Linked DNA regions of Macaca fascicularis. The protein of the gene in region 3 interacts with the protein of the main gene of each other region in a pairwise test. Links are inferred from orthologs where the notes say so. Each region holds a gene or a part of one and is shown on either strand. Other genes may lie near its edges.

Evidence for each region.
Region 1: the proteins of U2AF2 (region 3) and SNRPA interact in binary tests that used the Homo sapiens proteins (3 or more experiments, as listed by UniProt). The link is inferred for Macaca fascicularis from reciprocal best matches to the Homo sapiens genes U2AF2 and SNRPA.
Region 2: the proteins of U2AF2 (region 3) and SCAF11 interact in binary tests that used the Homo sapiens proteins (3 or more experiments, as listed by UniProt). The link is inferred for Macaca fascicularis from reciprocal best matches to the Homo sapiens genes U2AF2 and SCAF11.

The regions. Positions count from the first base shown.
Region 1 is NC_088393.1:47,867,784-47,874,071, reverse strand, and holds part of SNRPA (U1 small nuclear ribonucleoprotein A), read right to left. Parts: intron 2,015-6,288; coding exon 1,842-2,014; intron 1-1,841. UniProt on the Homo sapiens protein: Component of the spliceosomal U1 snRNP, which is essential for recognition of the pre-mRNA 5' splice-site and the subsequent assembly of the spliceosome. U1 snRNP is the first snRNP to interact with pre-mRNA.
Region 2 is NC_088385.1:52,619,108-52,624,381, reverse strand, and holds part of SCAF11 (protein SCAF11), read left to right. Parts: intron 1-1,466; coding exon 1,467-1,685; intron 1,686-2,036; coding exon 2,037-2,156; intron 2,157-2,424; coding exon 2,425-2,571; 3' UTR 2,572-5,274. UniProt on the Homo sapiens protein: Plays a role in pre-mRNA alternative splicing by regulating spliceosome assembly.
Region 3 is NC_088393.1:63,607,044-63,614,129, reverse strand, and holds the start of U2AF2 (splicing factor U2AF 65 kDa subunit), read right to left. Parts: upstream 4,114-7,086; 5' UTR 4,038-4,113; coding exon 3,989-4,037; intron 313-3,988; exon of another isoform or gene 195-312; intron 1-194. Other genes in the region: CCDC106 (coiled-coil domain-containing protein 106), read right to left, coding at 6,398-6,714. UniProt on the Homo sapiens protein: Plays a role in pre-mRNA splicing and 3'-end processing. By recruiting PRPF19 and the PRP19C/Prp19 complex/NTC/Nineteen complex to the RNA polymerase II C-terminal domain (CTD), and thereby pre-mRNA, may couple transcription to splicing.

The sequences.
Region 1 (6,288 bases), about 16 Mb from region 3:
GCACTCCAGCCCAGGCGACAGAGCAAGTCACTGTCTCAAAAAACAAAACAAAACAAAAACAAAAAACAAAAAAATCAGACCTTATCAGGAGCTTACTGAGAAACACAGAAATATAAATATCTTGGCCTTAACCTCCTTGTCTGAAAAACGGGGATTATGATACCTCCCACTTCAAAGGACTGTTATGAGGACTAAATGAGTTAAAGTGCTTGGAACAGTACCTGACACACAGTAAGTAAGTGTTCAGTAGAAAGGCTGTTGGTATTTTCAAGGGAAGCTGGAACAGCAATAAACGTCAGGCCAAAAGCCCGAGGAGACAATGCTAGGAGAGGAGTGCAGTGCACGGGGATTTCCTATCACACAAGAATACACCTCAGTCTTCCAGGTTCAATCTCATTCACTTAGCTGTTTAAGAAGAACCTGCCAGGCCGGGCGCGGTGGCTCAAGCCTGTAATCCCAGCACTTTGGGAGGCCGAGACGGGCGGATCACGAGGTCAGGAGATCGAGACCATCCTGGCTAACACAGTGAAACCCCGTCTCTACTAAAAAATACAAAAAAAAAAAAAAAAAAAAACTAGCCGGGCGAGGTGGCGGGCGCCTGTAGTCCCAGCTACTCGGGAGGCTGAGGCAGGAGAATGGCATAAACCCGGGAGGCGGAGCTTGCAGTGAGCCGAGATCCGGCCACTGCGCTCCAGCCTGGGCGACAGAGCAAGACTCTGTCTCAAAAAAAAAAAAAAAAAGAAGAACCTGCCAGATGCCAGGCACAATTCGAGGCTCTGGGAATAAAGCAATGAAAAAAATAGACAAAAACCCCTCTTTCACGGTGCTTATTCAGTAGGGGAAGGTATGTTAAACATTCTTAGTGTGGCACAGTAGCTCACGCCTGTAATCCTAGCACTTTGGGAGGTTGAGGCCGGCAGATCACTGGAGCTCAGGAGTTCGAGACCAGCCTGGGCAACATGGCGAAACCCTATCTCTACTAAAAATACAAAAATCAGCGTTTCCAGGGGAGATAGCATCGTCTATCTCATCAAAAATAAATAAATAAATAAAATAAATTAAAAAAAATTTTTTTAAGATTTCTTTAAATTTATTTTTATTTTTTGAGATATAGTCCTGCTCTGTCACCCAGGCTGGAGTGCAGTGGTGCGATATTGGCTCACTGCAACCTCCGCCTCTCGGGTTCAAGCAATTCTCCTGCCTCAGCCTCCCAAGTAGCTGGGATTACAGGTGCCAGCCATCATGCCCAGCTGATTTTTGTATTTTTGTAGAGACAGGGTTTCGCCATGTTGGCCAGGCTGGTCTCGAACTCCTGACCTCAGGTAATCCACTGGCCTCAGCCTCCCAAAGTGCTGGGATTACAGGCATGAGCCACCATGTCCAGCCAAATATACATATATATACGTATTTTGAGACAGTCTCACTCTGTCACCCAGGCTGGAGAGCAGTGGCAGGATCTCGGCTCACTGCAACCTCTGCCTCCCAGGTTCAAGCAATTCTCCTTCCTCAGCCTCCCGAGTAGCTGGGACTACAGGCGCATGCTGCCACGCCCAGCTAATTTTTGTATTTTAGTAGACGGGGTTTCACAGTGTTGCCCAGGCTAGTCGCAAACTCCTGAGCTCAGGTAAACTGCCTGCCTCGGCCTCCGAAAGTGCTGGGATTACAGGCATGAGCCACCGCACTCCGCCAAAAAAATTTTTAAAGGAGGCAAGGTGCAGTGGGAGCCTGGTCCAGTCTCACCTTGGTGAATGAACCCTAATATCCCCTCCTCTAATCCAGGCCCGCCCAGTCTCCTATAACATTTCACACACCCACACAGCCTCCATACCCACAATGCTCACCATGGGCTTGTCATAGAAGGGGAAACCCTGCATGGAGCGCAGGGCGTTGGTGGCGCTGCTGACCTCCTTGAAGATGACAAAGGCCTGGCCCCTCATCTTTAGGCTCCGTGATACCAGGATATCCAGGATCTGGCCAAACTGGGAGAAGATGGCGTACAGGGACTTTTTTAGCTCTGCAGTGGGGAAAGAAAAGACCTCTGAGCTCCCCTTGTTAGAAGAAGCGCAGCCCAGATAGAAGACCATCAGCCAATTGACGGGCTACCCAGAATGCCTCGGGTCCATAATCTCTCAAGACCTAACAATCACAGAAGCGGCCAGGAACCACTCAAGCAGCCAAGTACACTCTTCTGTAAGATGTGCTTACAGAGAGCTGCTATATAACGAACATGTGCACATACATGCAAAGTGCTCAGGACAGCATCCGGTACATAGTAAACGCTCAGTAAATATGAGTGATTCTTTTCATTGCCACCAGCACCCTGACACAGGCCTGCATGACGTGGCCCTGGCAGATTTCCCCCAACTCATTCCTGCCCACATTCCACTATGCTCCTGAGTCCCCAACCACACTGGCCCCTAGGTCTGACACAACAATTCTGCCCCAGGGCCTTTGCACTGGCTGCTCCCTTTACCTGGAACATCCCTCCCCTGAGGTTTACATGGCGGCCACCTTCTAGTCACCCAAGTCTCAGAGGAAACGTTGCCACCTCTGACCACCATGTCTAAATGTCTTCCCATGTCATTCTTACTCTACTTCCTTTTCTTTCATGACTATTTCCCGCCTCCTGTCATGGTACGTTAACTTGTCTATCTTACCTGAGGAGCAATAAGCCTGTCCCATTTGTTTACTGCAGTATCTCCATGCCTGGCACAGACTCCATCACACATATTTATTTTTTTTTATTTGGCAACAAGGTCTCACTTTGTCACCCATGCTGGAGTGCAGTGGCATGATCATGATTCACTGTAGCCTCAAACTCCCAGACTCAAGCGATCCTCCCACCTCAGCCTCCTGAGTAGCTGGGACCACAGGTATATGCCACCATGCCCAGCTAACTTCTGGATTTTGTGCAGAGACAGGGTCTTGCTATGTTGCCCAGGCTGGTCTTGAACTCCTGAGCTTAAGGAATTAGCCCACCTTGGCCTCCCAAAGTGCTGGGATTACAGGAGTGTGCCACCACACTTGGCTACAAACATTTGACTACAGATACCATCAAGTGCTTTTTTTAGACAGGGTCTCCTTCTGTTGCTCAGGCTGGAGTTCAGTGGCATAATAGCTTACTGCAGGCTCGACCTCCTAGGCTCAAGCAATCTTCTCACCTCAGCCTCCCAAGGAGCTGGGACTACAGGCACGCAACACGACGCATGGCTAATTTTTTATTTTTTTGTAGATACAATCTCCTATGTTGCCCAGGTTGGTCTTGAACTCCTGGGCTCCAGTGATCCTCCTGCCTTGGCTTCCCAAAGTGCTGGGACTATAGGCATGAGCCATCGCACCCCCATCAAATGCTTTATAGAGGTAACTTCCTCACAGCAACCCCATTAAGTGGCAACTATGACTGTCCCAGTTTTACTCAAATGGAAACAGGTTCTCAGAGGATTCCTCACTGGACCAGTACAACAATCTGGAGGGCACAAGGGCATGGCAGAGCCCAGTCCACGAATTCCATCTGAATCCGGTACCACCACATCTCACCAGCAAAGGGCATCACTTGACAGCAAGTGGGATTCAAGGTCAACAAGGATGGACTCCCTCTCATCACTCAGGTCTACAAAGGGTACCAATGTCTTATGCAAAGTAGATGGCTGAGATGGCCAAGCATGGTGGCTCACACCTGTAATCCCGGCACTTTGGGAGGCCGAGGTGGGCAGATCCTTTGCGCTCAAGAGTTCAAGACCAGCCTGGGCAATATGGTGAAACCCTGTCTCTACAAAAGATACAAAAATTAGCCACGCATGGTGACGCGTGCCTTATGGTCACAGCTACTTGGGAGGCTGAAGTGGGAGGATCACTCTAGCCTGGGAGGCAGATCCTGCCACTGGACTCCAACTTTCATAAAAACTGGCGTGGCATGGTGGCTCATGCCTGTAATTCCAGCACTTTGGGAGGCTGAGGCAGATCACTTGAGGTCAGGAGTTCAAGACCAGCCTGGCCAAGACGGTGAAACTCCATCTCGACTAAAAAGGCCAAAAAAAAAAAAAGAAAGAAAGAAAAAATTAGCTAGTCGTGGTGGAGTGCGCCTGTAATCCCAGCTACTTGGGAGGCTGAGGCAGGAGAATAGCTTGAACCAGGGAGGCAAAAGTTGCAGTGAGCAGAGATTATGCCGCTGCACTCCAGCCTGGGCAACAGATCGAACGTCCGTCTCAAAAAAATATGTTGAGCTGAAGCAGAAGCCACTTGGTAAAATAGATACTAGACTAGGAAAGAAGCAAGAAAATGTGTGCAGGCTGGGTGGGGGCAGGGACAGCAGTCAAACTTGTTTTTAAACAATTAGTCAAAAATTCTCCTGGGGGTAACATTTCTGGTTTTCTTCTCCATACTCCATCCCCATGAATCTCATTCAGACTTCACTCATTCCACTGGACTCTGGGCCTCTCTCTACTCTCCAGCCTCCTCTTGCCCATTCGCATTTACCCTCCACCGCTGGAAGGATAGATGAGGAGGCAACCAGGACAGGGAAGCAAGCTGGCTCCCCAACACCCTCAGGGCAAAGTCTGACACCTCATAGCCACGAGCCTCATAGCCAGGAGCCACCAGTGCACAGCTCGCTGGAAGCTTCTCCATGATTTACAGGCCTCTAGGCCTCAGGCCCACAAAACTACTTGTAATACCCAGAATGTGCCAGGCTCTTTTACCCCTAAACATCTACACAAGCTGGCCCAAGTTAATAACACTCTTCTCCCTCAATGTAACATAAATACTGCTTCCTCTACCTGGCAGGCTCTCCAAAATGTCTCCTTTGCCAGGAAGCTGAATGGATCCCTCTGTCTTTCTAAGGTCCCAATCTCAGCCCTCAACACTCTGCCTAAGCTTCCTGCATGATGGCCCTGACTACTCTGGGCTGTCACTGTCCTAAAGAACCAGGGTTCCGGCCGGGCGCGGTGGCTCACGCCTATAATCCCAGCACTTTGGGAGGCCGAGGCAGGTGGATCACAAGGTCAGGAGTTCGAGACCAGCGTAGCCAAGATGGTGAAACCCTGTCTCTGCTAAAAATACAAAAATTAGCTGGGCATGGTGGCAGGTGCCTGGAATCCCAGCTACTCAGGAGGCTGAGGCAGAGAACTGCTTGAATCCGGCAGGCGGAGGTTGCAGTAAACTGAGATTGCGCCACTGCATTCCAGCCTATGCAACACAGCGACACTCCACCTCATTTAAAAAAAAAAAAAAAAAAGCCGGGCGCGGTGGCTCAAGCCTGTAATCCCAGCACTTTGGGAGGCCGAGACGGGTGGATCACGAGGTCAGGAGATCGAGACCATCCTGGCTAACACGGTGAAACCCCGTCTCTACTAAAAATACAAAAAATTAGCCGGGCGCAGTGGCGGGCGCCTGTAGTCCCAGCTACTCAGGAGGCTGAGGCAGGAGAATGGCGTGAACCCGGGAGGTGGAGCTTGCAGTGAGCTGAGATCTGGCCACTGTACTCCAGCCTGGGCGGCAGAGCGAGACTCTGTCTCAAAAAAAAAAAAAAAAAAAAAAAAAGAACCAGCGTTCTATGTCACCAGTGTGTCCCCAGCACTGCCCAATAATGGTTAGGCACCACACTCTAAAAGCATATGCAAAATTTACATTCCTGGTTTTGTTTTATTTTATTTTATCTTTTTTTGAGAGTCTCTATCACCCAGGCTGGAGTACAGTGGTGCAGTCTCAGCTCACTGCAACCTCTGCTTCCCAGGGTTCAAGTGATTCTCCTGCCTCAGCCTCCCAAGTAGCTGGGACTATAGATGTGCGCCGCCACACCCAGCTGATTTTTAGTAGACACGGGGTTTCACCATCTTGGCCAGGCTGGTCTTGAACTCCTGACCTCACACGATCTCCCACCTCAGCCTCCCAAAGTATTTTTAGTAGACACGGGGTTTCACCATCTTGGCCAGGCTGGTCTTGAACTCCTGACCTCACACGATCTCCCACCTCAGCCTCCCAAAGTGCTGGGATGACAGGCGTGAGCCAGTGCCCCGGCTGCTGGTTTTGCTTTCTTCAAGAGCAACTTCACTGGTGACCTCAAACTGAATCCCAGTAAGCTCCTTCGGTTCTCCTGACAATTTTCTTGAAGTGATAAGAGCTAACATTTATCCAGCCCTTACTAGCTGCCAGTTAACATAAAAAAGAAATACTGCAAGGTTTAGCTAATTTAATCTCACCCAACATCCATGCAAAAAAGGTATTATGATTTTGCTCAGTTTTTACATGTAGAAAATGAGATTCAATAAAGGTGATAATTTACTTGAGAAC
Region 2 (5,274 bases), on a different chromosome or scaffold from region 3:
TTACTTATATCTGAACAGGATTTTTTTTTTTCATATTAAGTAAACCAAATTATAAACCAAATTAGGATCAAGTGGTGGGCACTTTACATTTTTCTGCTGTTTTGCATTGTTTATGGGGGGTGTATGGGGCGGTGGGAATTAGTGATTAAGTACTATGATGAAGTTTTTATTGTCTTGTTCAGACAAACACTAGATAAAGCTGTTCATTATCCATTACCATCTGTGTTTCATTTTCATGAATTTATCATGCTGAAAAGAAAGGAGAAGTGCCTCTGTGAGACATAGAAAATTTGAATAATTTGCAAACATTGTGTTGCTTATAATTTTATGACTGCCTTTAAAAAATTTTAGAATCCTAGGCGGGCACGGTGGCTCACACCTGTTATCCCAGCACGTTGGGAGGCCAAGGCAGGTGGATCAGTTGAAGTCAGGAGTTCGTGACCAGCTTGGCCAACATGGTGAAACCCCATCTCTACCAAAAATACAAAAATTAGGCCAGGCACAGTGGCTCACACCTGTAATCCCAGCACTTTGGGAGGCCAAGGTGGACGGATCACGAGCTCAGGATCAGCCTGGCCAACATGGTGAAACCCTGCCTCTACTAAAAATACAAAAATTAGCTGGGTGTGGTGGCGGGCACCTGTAATCCCAGCTACTCAGGAAGCTGAGGCTGGAGAATTGCTTGAACTCAGGAGGTGGAGGGTGCAGTGAGCTGAGATCGTGCCACTGCACTCCAGCCTGGGTGACAGAGCAAGACTCTGTCTTGAAAAAAATATATATACAAAAATTAGCCAGGCGTGGTGATGCATGCCTGTAATCCCAGCTACTTGGAGGCTGAGGCTTGAGAATCACTTGAACCAGTAGTCAGAGATTGCATTGAGCCAAGATTGCGCCACTGAACTCTAGCGTGGGAGAGAGTGAGACTTCGTCTCAAAATAAATAAATAAATAAATAAATAAATAAATAAATAAATAAATAAATAAATAAAAGTAGAATCCTGACAGTACGATAGAGTTGAAAGAATAGGGAAATTGGATTTTAGTATTTTGTATCTTAATCTTTTTCTCCTATCAACTTACTACAAGCCATTTGATTTTACTGCCTTATTTTTTCCAATCTTTAAAGTGGGGGCACTTATTTTCATTAATATTCCTGAAGATCCTTGCAGGAAAGATACAGTTCTTTAAAAGCTCTTCTCCTCCTTGTTTTTAGTGTTGCTGTCAGAATGTTACAATCCATATATATAATTTAAAACTCATCTTGACATATCTAAATAAGGCCCTGTTTAAGAGTGTTAATCATTTTTCTTTAAAGGGCCCTTTAGATATAATTACCTGAAATATGCATTTTTCTTTAGTACTAAGGTTGGTTTGCTTTGTGTTTTTTAATGTTATTTCTAATACATCACTAAAAGACTTCTATTGAGTACAAGTAATTCATTAACTGATGATAACTCTTTAACACAGGGTATTCCTAGTTCTTCTCATGTAAGTAATAACATGAGTACACCAGTTTTGCCTGCTCCAACAGCAGCCCCAGGAAATACGGGAACGGTTCAGGGACCAAGTTCTGGTAATACTTCGTCATCAAGTCACAGCAAAGCCTCTATTGCTGCTGTAAAATTGGCAGAAAGCAAAGTAAGTGTTACAGTGGAAGCCAGCGCAGATAGCTCGAAGACAGACAAGGCAAGTTCAAGGTTGAGAGCAACCTCCATAATTCTGTATATGATAAAGGTGAAAAATATCAGCTTTTTATTGTATGAGTGGTGAAGGGAATTTCTTATTGGCAGTCTAAATGCCAATATTATTTGAAGGATTCTCTCTAGATGAGTTGATGTCCAGTAAATTACTGGTAATACTTGACAATTGTTTTTAGAAATGTTTGATATGTTTTAGTAAATAAACTGTTTTGTATTTGTCACGTTAATAGTTGGAGAGTCTCTTATTGTAAATGTGAAGTATTTTCAATTTCTTGTTTGAAATTTCGTGAGAGCATATGACTGGTTAATAATAAATTATACATTTTCTTCTCATCAGAAATTGCAAATTCAAGAAAAAGCAGCACAAGAGGTAAAATTGGCCATTAAGCCATTTTACCAAAATAAAGATATCACCAAGGAAGAATATAAAGAAATTGTACGGAAAGCAGTAGATAAAGTAAGTTATGCCTTTAGTGGAGTATGTGCACATTGTTTTGAACCACCTCTGTTTTAATAAATGAATGCTGAAGTTTAATTAAAATAATAAAAGCTAGCTCCTACTAATTCCTGTCTACTTTTTTGCCTTTTGACTAGTTTGTATGAGATAATGAAACATGAAAATAAGTCTGGTTATCTCTTTGGGGTTGTTTTTCACAAAGCTTTCTATTTTGGCTTTAATCCCTTTAAGCATGAAAAAAGTTTACCCTCCACCCCTTTTTTCTTAGGTTTGTCATAGTAAGAGTGGAGAAGTAAATTCTACTAAAGTGGCAAATCTGGTTAAAGCCTATGTAGACAAATACAAATATTCACGGAAGGGGAGCCAAAAGAAAACTCTGGAAGAACCTGTGTCTACTGAAAAAAACATAGGCTGAAATGGGGAACGCTGTCAAAGACATTATCAGGATATCTGCAAAGTGCAATTTCAACATGTACCATTAACTGAAAATCATACATAACTGTGATTGAAATTTGGTTTTGATAAAATTATTTTTTTAACATAGGATATGATGTTTTGTTCTAAATAAATATAGGTCTGCACTGCAACTTCTGTATCCTTCCTTCCCCTCCAACCTCCCCCACAAAATTCAAGGGAAAGTAAAGTGTTGAAAGGAATGTGCATCTTTACTAGGACTGTGTTATAGTGTGGATACTGAAAGATGTATAGCTTTTTGATTAGAGCAATGGAGTGCATAAATTAGAAACTTCTAAGTGCACTGGTTTTCAAAGAGATATATATATAAAATGCATTTATTCTGTCAGGTTAAAATATAAAGTATGATCTTTATGATTGATTTTTTCCCTCTAATTATAGAAAGTTAAATAATGTATTACCATGAAAAATGTTTCTAATATTAAATAGAACATATCAGTTGCAGAGTTCCTAATGTGTATTTTTAAAGCACATATCTGAATAAATTGCCTAGATAGAAAAAAATTATCACATGAGTAAAATTTAGTGTTCAAAACATTGAGACACTCTTCACCTATTGTATGACCAAATAAAGGTTATGCTGCTTGTTTTTCTTTTGTGCCTTTTTTTACTCTGAATTGAGATAAGCAGTTTGACTTACTAGATTACAACTTTGGCAGTTCAAAGTCTTTGTTGAAGACTTTGAAGAAAAAGATTTGGAAAAATTGTTGACTTTTGGCCGGGCATGATGGCTCACGCCTATAATCCCAGCATTTTGGGAGGCCGAGGCGGGTGGATCACCTGAGGTTAGATCATCGAGACCAGCCTGGCTAACATGGTGAAACCCCGTCTCTACTAAAAATACAAAAATTAGCCAGGCGTGTTGGTGCATGCCTGTAATCCCAGCTATTCGGGAGGCTGAGGCAGGAGAATCAGTTGAACCCAGGAGGCAGAAGTTGCAGTGAGCCGAGACCGTGCCATTGCACTTCAGCCTGGGCAACAGGAGCAAATCTCCGTCTCAAAAAAAAAAAAAAAGTGTTGACTTTGTAGAAATTATGTTCTTTCGTAGTATCTTCTTCTACCCATTGCAGATGATAAATTATTTGTGCCAATTTGAGAATTGCTATTAAGCTGTTATCCTCCCTTCCTTGGGACTAAGAATTACAAGACTCATGGCACTGGCATAAAGTCGTTGTTTAATCACTGATGAAATTATTTTCACACTTGTTACAATGAATGAAGTGTTAATTTGGTGATCAGGTGGTAGCCATTAGCCATGTTGCAGAATTCTAAAATTCTAGCCAATGAAACCTGTGTTTTAGAAATGCAGAGGAAAATTGAATAATGGAGTCTTGGTTAGCCTTTCAGGGACTAGGGATTTGTTTTTTTGTTTTGTTTTTTTTGTTTGTTTGTTTTCCTCTTTTTAGTACTAGAATATCTCAGTTTTTATAAAAGGTAAGTTTAAAATGTTTATCGTGCCATTATTTTAACTGGCATCTTGAAAGAACAATGCGTTTTCTCCATGATAAACTCTGATTCCAGTAGGAATTTTCAGTACATACCAAGTACCTGGAAAGTTCTTCAGATAAGTTAATGGATCCAAGGAGATACATGCCTCCATGAGATAAACTGACCCTTTTACTAGCTAAACTAGCCAGAGCAATACTCTGTAGAACTGTGCTTTTCTAAAGTAAGGATTATCTGTTTCTCAATTTTACGTGCATAATACTTTTCCTGGTGCTAGCTTTGATAGGCAAAATATCTTGAAATGTTGGCCCCATAATGATTGTGCTAGTTCATAAGCTTTGTTAAGTTATGAGTTTAATCATAAAAATATTTCCAAGCAGTTTTTGACCTTCATTCTACATTTCTGGGCATTTGTAATATGGTATTCTACTGGTATATATTTTTAAAGTTTGCATTTAGATTATGATAAAGAAATTTCAAGTGTATTTCTTCTAATAAAGTATTAAGACAGTGTTTCAGAATATCAAGGCACACCTCCTTAGTTGTTTTAGGTTAGAACTCTACAAACAATTTTGTGAATGTTCAAAGTATTTTGAGTTAAGGCTAGTTCATACTTTGAAATTTTTGCAGCAAATTGCTGTGTCTAAGTTGATTAATCACACAATACATACTTTTCCTGCATTTTCTTTCAGTGACATTTGAGAATTGGGTGACATTTTAAAATGTGCTTTATACCATTTAGCTTTTGCAAACAAGTTCTAAAGTTTTGGAGCAAAAGTGGTGTGGTCAAGAGTTGAAGTCTCATATATCTTTAGTAGCACTCCCATGAATTATTTCCATGACAATAACAAGTGTGTGTTCCATATCTGATTGGGGCACTGGTTAGACTGCATTAATAGCTAATGAAGAGTGTTATTTGATTAGAATTCAAACTTTTAAAATTTTGAAATGTTTAAGAATGTATTAGAAAATGCATGCTTTATGTTGAAAAAATACATTGCTTTAACATTCCTCATTCTTTAAGAAATTTATGTTAATTTTGCATGGGCACAAACTTAATCAGAAACATTTTGTGGAGTTACATTTCCTCTTGTTATTTATCAAGGTTCAGTATTGACTTGATCTTTGAAACCTTGGTCCCTTTCATTTACTAGTCACATTGACCGATGTTTTATAGAAATGCCTAGAATTTTGAGAC
Region 3 (7,086 bases):
CGGAGTAAGGCTGCGGACCCAGCCCACCCTGCGCGCTGGTGGCTATGTCCCCAGCCCCAGGGAGGCCACCCCCAAAGGGAAGGGATCCAATGGAGGAAGGGAATTAACAGGCCTCCTGGGTCCACAAGCGAGTCCAGGGACCACGAGGGGACCAGGGGGACGGGGCCTGGAAATGCCCCCGGGGTGTGAGATACCTGAGGATGCTCAGGAGGAGCTGGGAGCCAGAGAAGACAGAGGAGGCTGGCTCCTGGTCCCCTCGAGGGCTGAGGGGCCTGACCCCAGGGTCGTCCCTGAGAGGGGCAGGGCTAGAGGCTGGGGAATCAAGAGACCCAATGATGTTTTCCTGAAGGGACCCAGCGACCCCTCAGGAAAGACCTCTGCAACCAGCTGGCACCCACAGCCCCACCATCAGGCCTGGGGGTCAGGTGCCAGGCAGGATCTGATGTCCCCAGGAAGCAGGGAAACTCAACCCATCCCTTCCCAAGCCAGTGAATAATGCAGAAGCAAGCACCCTTCCCCAGGGGAAGGGAAGGGCCTCAGAGAATCCGCAGACTGAAGGGGAAAGAGGCCCTCCTCTCCTTCAGCAGGACAGGGGAGGAGCTTGCCCCATCCAGACTTGAATCCCAAACCACTTGATTCTCCCGGCCTCACTCCCTTCAAAGCCAAGCGCTGGAGAGGCTGTACTGTAGGGTAGGGGCATGCATCTCTGCCAGCCTCCAGCCGGCTCCCTCAACCCTGCATTTGCCTGACGTAGCCACTAGAAACAGAGCCTTGCTGCTAAAACCACAGAGACCTCTGCTCTCACCAGACCCTTCAACCCCTGAAGAAGGACGACCGGCCCTTTAAGATGGAGAATAAAGCATGAGCATTGAGGGTGTTCATGAGCACCGCCATACCATTTCCTTAATTCAAAGACACCCAGATTTCTCAACTAGCCACGAAGCACTCACACAAAAAAGATGCACACGTTAAGGTGCTCATGTTAACACGCATCTCCTGGAGTGATCATCCCTGGGGACAAGAGGAGGAAAAGGCACTGAGGGAGGATGTTAAACTTTAGCCTCACCCACAGCGTTTTGTCTTATGTTTTTGTGATGCAATTTGAATGTTTGGAAAAGCATCACAATTCCAAAACCACCAACACTCAGAAAAATATGCACCCAGAAGGGAAAAAAACAGAAACAAATACTGAGATGCTTCTGTACTAAATAGCTTTGTTTGTTCTTAATCCTCACTACTGTTTCGGAAAAACGCTGCGGGGGGCTGACCTAATGGGTAGAAAACTAAGGTTCAGAGAGATCACAGTTGCCCAAGGCCAGACAGCTAGGAAATGGTGATACCAGAACGTAAACACTAAAACATCAGTGAGTTAGGCACCAAGTCATACTCTTGAATGTGGATCAGGCAGAACACTCAAGTCTGGCTAGAACCACTAATGACAATATAATTGTCCCCTCGAAGGCCAAAAACCCCAAAATCAAAAACTGAAATTGGGAGGAACAATTGGCAGGACAGGCCAGCAGTGCAGAGCAGCAGGGTAAGCACGCAGGCACGGCACTGGGCACAACTCCACGCCTGTAAGATGGACAGGCTGTGAGCCCCAAGAGCCCTTCCTGCTGCTAAGGCTCTGAAACAGGCAAGCAGGCAGAGAGGAAGCCACGCAGAGAAAGCAATGACGCCCGTTGGGTGCCTGGGACACAGACAAGGAAATTCCCTATCGACACAGGTAGCAGAGGAAGGGACTGAAGCAGAAGCCGACAGGTACAGAGGCTGATGCGTCCTCCACAAAGACCCACAGGCAGAGTGACACGTGGGCAGAGCTTCCCCTATGACAAGAACCCTCTCCCACACACTGATGCTGGACAGGTAAAAACCAAGAGAGCTTCATTTGCTCAAAACACTGTATTGTGGTCATCTTATGGGAGCAGCTCCGGCAACCCAGGAGCCGTGCCAGGTCTCAGGGAGGGCCCTATCAGCACCAAGGGGGAAACCCCGGGAGAACCAGTGAAGCACCATCTGAGAGCCTCAAAGAACGGCCCGATCAGCTCCACTTGGTGGCCCAGCAGAGTGGAACCTGGCCTTGCAGCCAGCCAGAGCTCAGAATCAGTACCTGCTTTTCTGCTTACCAACAAAAACCATGCAAAAACAACTTAACCTTTAAGACTTGGTTTTTTCTCTGTAAACGAGGGTCACATCTACTCCACTCAGGTGTTGTGTGACAGAATGACATTTGGAAAGCACCTTTTCCTGCCCTTTCCCAACTGTGACACAATCTCTGTGAGTGGAAGACCCTCCTCTTTAAGCATGGAATTTTACAATTGCAAATATCGCTTACTGCACACCTAGTGTACACCAAGCCACATGCCACACACTTTACGTTACCCCATTTAATCTCAGCTCTGCCTCTGACTAGCTGAGCCCTGAGAAAGTTTTTAATTTTTCTGAGCCCTCAGTTTCCTCCCCAGTAGAGGTGGAAATCATTTTGACCTCACAGGGCTGTTACAAGGATCCCCTAAATAAAATCACGCTAAGAGTTTAGCGAAGAGCCTGGCACACATAAGCGCTCAGAGTTTAACTACACCTATCGTTACTATAATCCTTACTAATCTTCTCAAAACCGAGTGAGAAAAAATAATAATCAGTCTACAAATAGGAAAAAAAAAGAAAGATAAACGTATTAAAAGTAGTTACTAACCAACAAAGCAAGTATCTAAATCCCTGATGTGCTCAACTCCAAAGCCTATGCTCTTGAACAGTCCATCACCTAAGACAGAGTCAGACCCTCAGTAAACGTTATTTCTTCCCCAGGGCACTGTTTCCTAATACAGCCCCTGGGTTCAAAGGAAAATTCCTTAGCCCTCATTTCGTCCTCCGAACGACCTAGGATCATGGGCAGCTGAAGCCTCAAAAGAAATGAAACAAGTCCCCAACCTTCCCTAGTCCTGTGTTTCTTCACTCTCAAACTGAAACATGGAACAACTCTCCCACTTCTAATATTCTCGGAATCCCTAAGATCAGCAGGGCCCCACGCTTTTTGTTCTCACCCATCACATTCTCGATACCCTGAAAGGAACCTGCCTCCCACCTTCCCCGTTAAGTGAAGAGTTTAGCGCAGTGGGCCAGATCCCTCTTCCTCCCTCAGAACCTGTTTCCTTATCTCTACATCGAGATCTGAGGCTGAGTATTATCAGGTGCCCCGAGTTTGGGATCCTACATGATTTGCGGTTTGTCTCAAACACTCCATATCGCGATTCTCGGGACCGCCAAAAGTTCCGCATATGCAGGATGTGTGCGTGCCGACACTCAAAGAATGCAGATGCTTCAGGGAACATGCGCCCAACACGTTAATATGAGGCGCCCCACTACCAACAGACGGGGCAGAAACCACCTGGCAGAAGAGGTCGCAGCAAATCAGCAAAAAGGAAAAGGGGTATGAGACGGGCTCGTGGCCTCCAAGAGTCCCCCGAAACAGCTCTGTCCTCATCCACGTGAAGGAGGGAAAGGGGGGCCCCCCCGAGTCCTCACAACCGCCATTTTGGAAACAAAGGGGGCGTGGAGACGCGGCCGTGGGCCCGACCGGAAGCGGAAGTGCCAAGGCAGCGGGAGAAAAAGAACGGATTACGGGGCCTAACATAATCTCCTTTTCAGAGAATACAAAAAGATTTTAAAAAACAAAAGTTCACGTCGAGGTACCTGGCGCACTCGCGCCGCGTCCCCCGAGCCACCTCCGGCAGGACCACGTGGGGCACGGGGACAGCCGCCGTGCGCATGCGTCATGGGCCCGCGCCCTGCCGCCCCCTTCCCCTCGCCTAGCGCGCGGCCGAACGCTGGGGATGTCACGTGAACGAGGCGCGCGCCACGGAACCGGGGTTGGGGGGGGTCGCACGGCCGTGAGAGGTGGGGGGAAGCGAGGGAGAAAATGGCGGGGGGGCAAAGAGCGACGCGAGGAGCCGCCCACACCTCCGCCCCGCGACCCCGGCGCCCTCACCTTGTTTATTCTCGTTGAGCTGCCGCTCGAACTCGTCGAAGTCCGACATGCTGAGGCGGCCGCGTAGGGCCCTGTGCAGCTCTCGCCTCGCCTTGCCGCCCGCTCCGGCCGCTTCGGCTACTTCCGCCGCTGGCTTCGGCTACTTCCGGCCGCCGCCGGCGCTTCGCCACCTCCTACCTAATCAAGCCTCCGGCAGCCCTCCCCACCCGCCCGGGCTCCGCCCCCTCACCCGCCCGCCCGCCCGCGAGCTTGCCCCTCCCCCCGAGCCTGGCTCCGAAGCGCGTCGGCTATTTCCGGACACTGGACGAAGGAGACGCAGATGGCAGCTGCGACTGCTTCCGAAAACACCCGAAGGTAGGGTTTCGCCGACTTCCCAGGTTTCCGTAACTTTTCCAAAATTATCTCCTCAACGTTCGGAGGTTTCCGTGTGTCCTCGTGTTCCACTGCGCCCAGCCCCCTCTGCGAGTTCGGGTTCTTCCGACAATTCAATCCGTCCCAGTCTTTGGCTGCTTCCACGGATTTCCTCCGATCTTCTCCGCCGGCCCTGTCCAAGCAATCGGCCACTTCCGACAATCCTAACCGTCCCGGCCTTCGGCTCTTTCCGGAGATTTCCGGAGCTCGCCCTCGGGCCCCTCCTGGGATTAAGCTCGAGTCCAAGTTTCGGCTCTTTCCGGAGATGCCACTTGCTCACTCCGCAGATCAGAGAACTTCGGCTCCTTCCGCCACCGCTTCGTGAAGGCCTCACTCTCCGGGGACAGCTTCGGCTTTTTTCGTGGGTGCTTCGGCTCCTTCCGGCTTCGGGAACGGAAAAGGGAGGGAGGACGGAGGCGAGGTGGGTCAGGGGAAGGGATACAGAGAAGGAGACGAGGTACCGGTTCTCAGCACCTGGCTCTCCGGGTGGGGAAAGTGAAAGAAAAAAAGGACCGGCCTCGCGGAGGGCCTGAGAAGGTTGCGCGAGACAAAAGCAGCAAGAGGGGTGAACGGTGCGCGCGACCGCTGCGGAGGTTGCCAGCGCGGCTTTTTGCGCCTGCGCAGGGTGGAAGCGGCGGGTGAGGGGGAAACAGGCTTCTGCGCCTGCGTAAGTGTCTCTGTGGCGCGCTCTCCCACTGCTCCGGTGAAGGGGGTTGCGGGGACCAGGTTTCAGTCCCCGTTGCGCGTGCGCGAGATTTTCCCTTCCTGGAGTGAAAGTGCTTAATCCCCAACGGTTAAATCCGGCCACCCTCTTGGTTGTCTTGGCAACCGCATCAACGCGCTCCGGCCCCTCCCGTCGCGCAGGCGCAACAGATGGATGATCGCGCAGTCCTTCCGGGAGACAGATGATCTGGCGTTACTGCCCCCTGGCGGCCGGACGGAAGAATCCCCCAGACTTGGCCTGGCCGCTGGGTGGCCTCCCCTGCTCGAGGTCATCGAGTCCCGCCTCTCGCGCCACTCACTGGTCCGGGTAGCCCAGCGGGTAGCGTTTACGCTTTTTACTTTTTTTTTTTTTTTTTTTTTGCGACGGAGACTCTATCGCCCAGGCTAGAGTGCAGTGGCCAGATCTCGGCTCACTGGAACCTCCGCCTGCTGGGTTCAAGCGATTTTCCTGCCTCAGCCTCCCGAGTAGCTGGGACACCTGGCTAATTTTTTGTATTTTTAGTAGAGATAGGGTTTCACTGTGTTAGCCAGGACGGTCTCGATCTCCTGAACTCGTGATCCGCCTGCCTCGGCCTCCCAAAGCGCTGGGATTACAGGCGTGAGCCACCGCACCCGGCTGTGTCCGCGCTTCTTTTCCAGAGCTCTGCCTCCAAGATTTCAGGGGCACAGCTGTTTCTCCGTCTCTGCCTCCGGGGGGCTAATTACACCCTGTCCTACCCGGCCTCCCGCCTGACCGCCCACCCCCTTGGAAGCCCCAGCAACCCCATCACCGTCGTCGGGGCGACGGCCTCCCCCTCCCAGGCACGTCCCCCTCCTAGGAAAAGGCTGAGGCCCAGTTTATTCCAAATTTTCACGTCGTTTTTTAATTTAAATTCTCTGAATAATTCTCTGTCTCGCGCGGAGTTGGGGAGGTCTGTCCGGGAATCAGGTGGGCAGCTCCTCCGCGGGGCTGGGGCGGAGACGGGGTCTATACAGTCCCCCACCCGAGAGGGGGGCGGCACCCTCCTGCCTGGTTGATTTCCAGGAGGAAGGGGTCCGGCGAGGACAGGGCTGGGCAGCCCAAGCGGAAGGGGATGCCGGCGTTCGGGAAGGGGCTGCGGCCGGCCCTGGGCCGTCGCGCTTGGGGGCCGGGCTAAGGGAGCCCCCAACCCAGGGAGTGAGGAGGAGGGGCAGGGGCGCGGCAGGGAGAGGCGCAGGTCATCCACCGGGGGCCTGGGGAGGGCCGGGGTCGGCGGGGGAGGAAGGCCCGGGCGGAGGCGCGGAGGCGTGGTGCGATCACCGCTTGAAGCGGTAGGTGATGGGCAGCAGCAGCTTGCTCTTCTTGAGCGCCTGCACCTTCTTGAGCGTCTCGTCGTCCAGGGCCAGAAAGCAGCGACGGGAGTACTCGAGCAGGCGCTCCTTGGAGGGGTCGAACTCGCCCACCTCGGCCAGCTTCTCGGGGGCCACAATGAGCAGCTCGGCGATGGGCGTGGTCAGCGCCACGGTGTTCCTGTCCACGCGGTGGTGCTCGAAGGCCCGCGACATGCTCTTGAGCTTCTGGAAGGTGCCCAGGATCTTCTTGTACCGGCAGAGGACCCCGTCGGCGTCCTTCACTGCGGGGCGGAGGCGGGGACACGGAAGTGAGGAGCAGGGGCCAAGACCGAGGGGGCGGACACGGGAAGGGAAACGGCCATGGGAAGGAAGGATCCCGGCGAGCAGAGGCACTGGCGGTGCAGGAGGATACGGAGAACAGGGAAGGGAGGGGCGGAGAGGAGGGGAAGAAGCGCAGCCAGTACTTGGACCAGTGGGAAATGGGAAGAGGCAGGCCCAGGAAGGGGGGTGAGGAGAGAACATGAGCCGAGAGGCCGGGTTCAACCAACGCGGTCCCAGCAACAACACCGCCCCCCCCGCCCGCCTCTCCACCACGCCCAGCCATCACCCTCACCTCCCTGCCTCAGGTGAATTCACTTATTCAAGCCTCACCC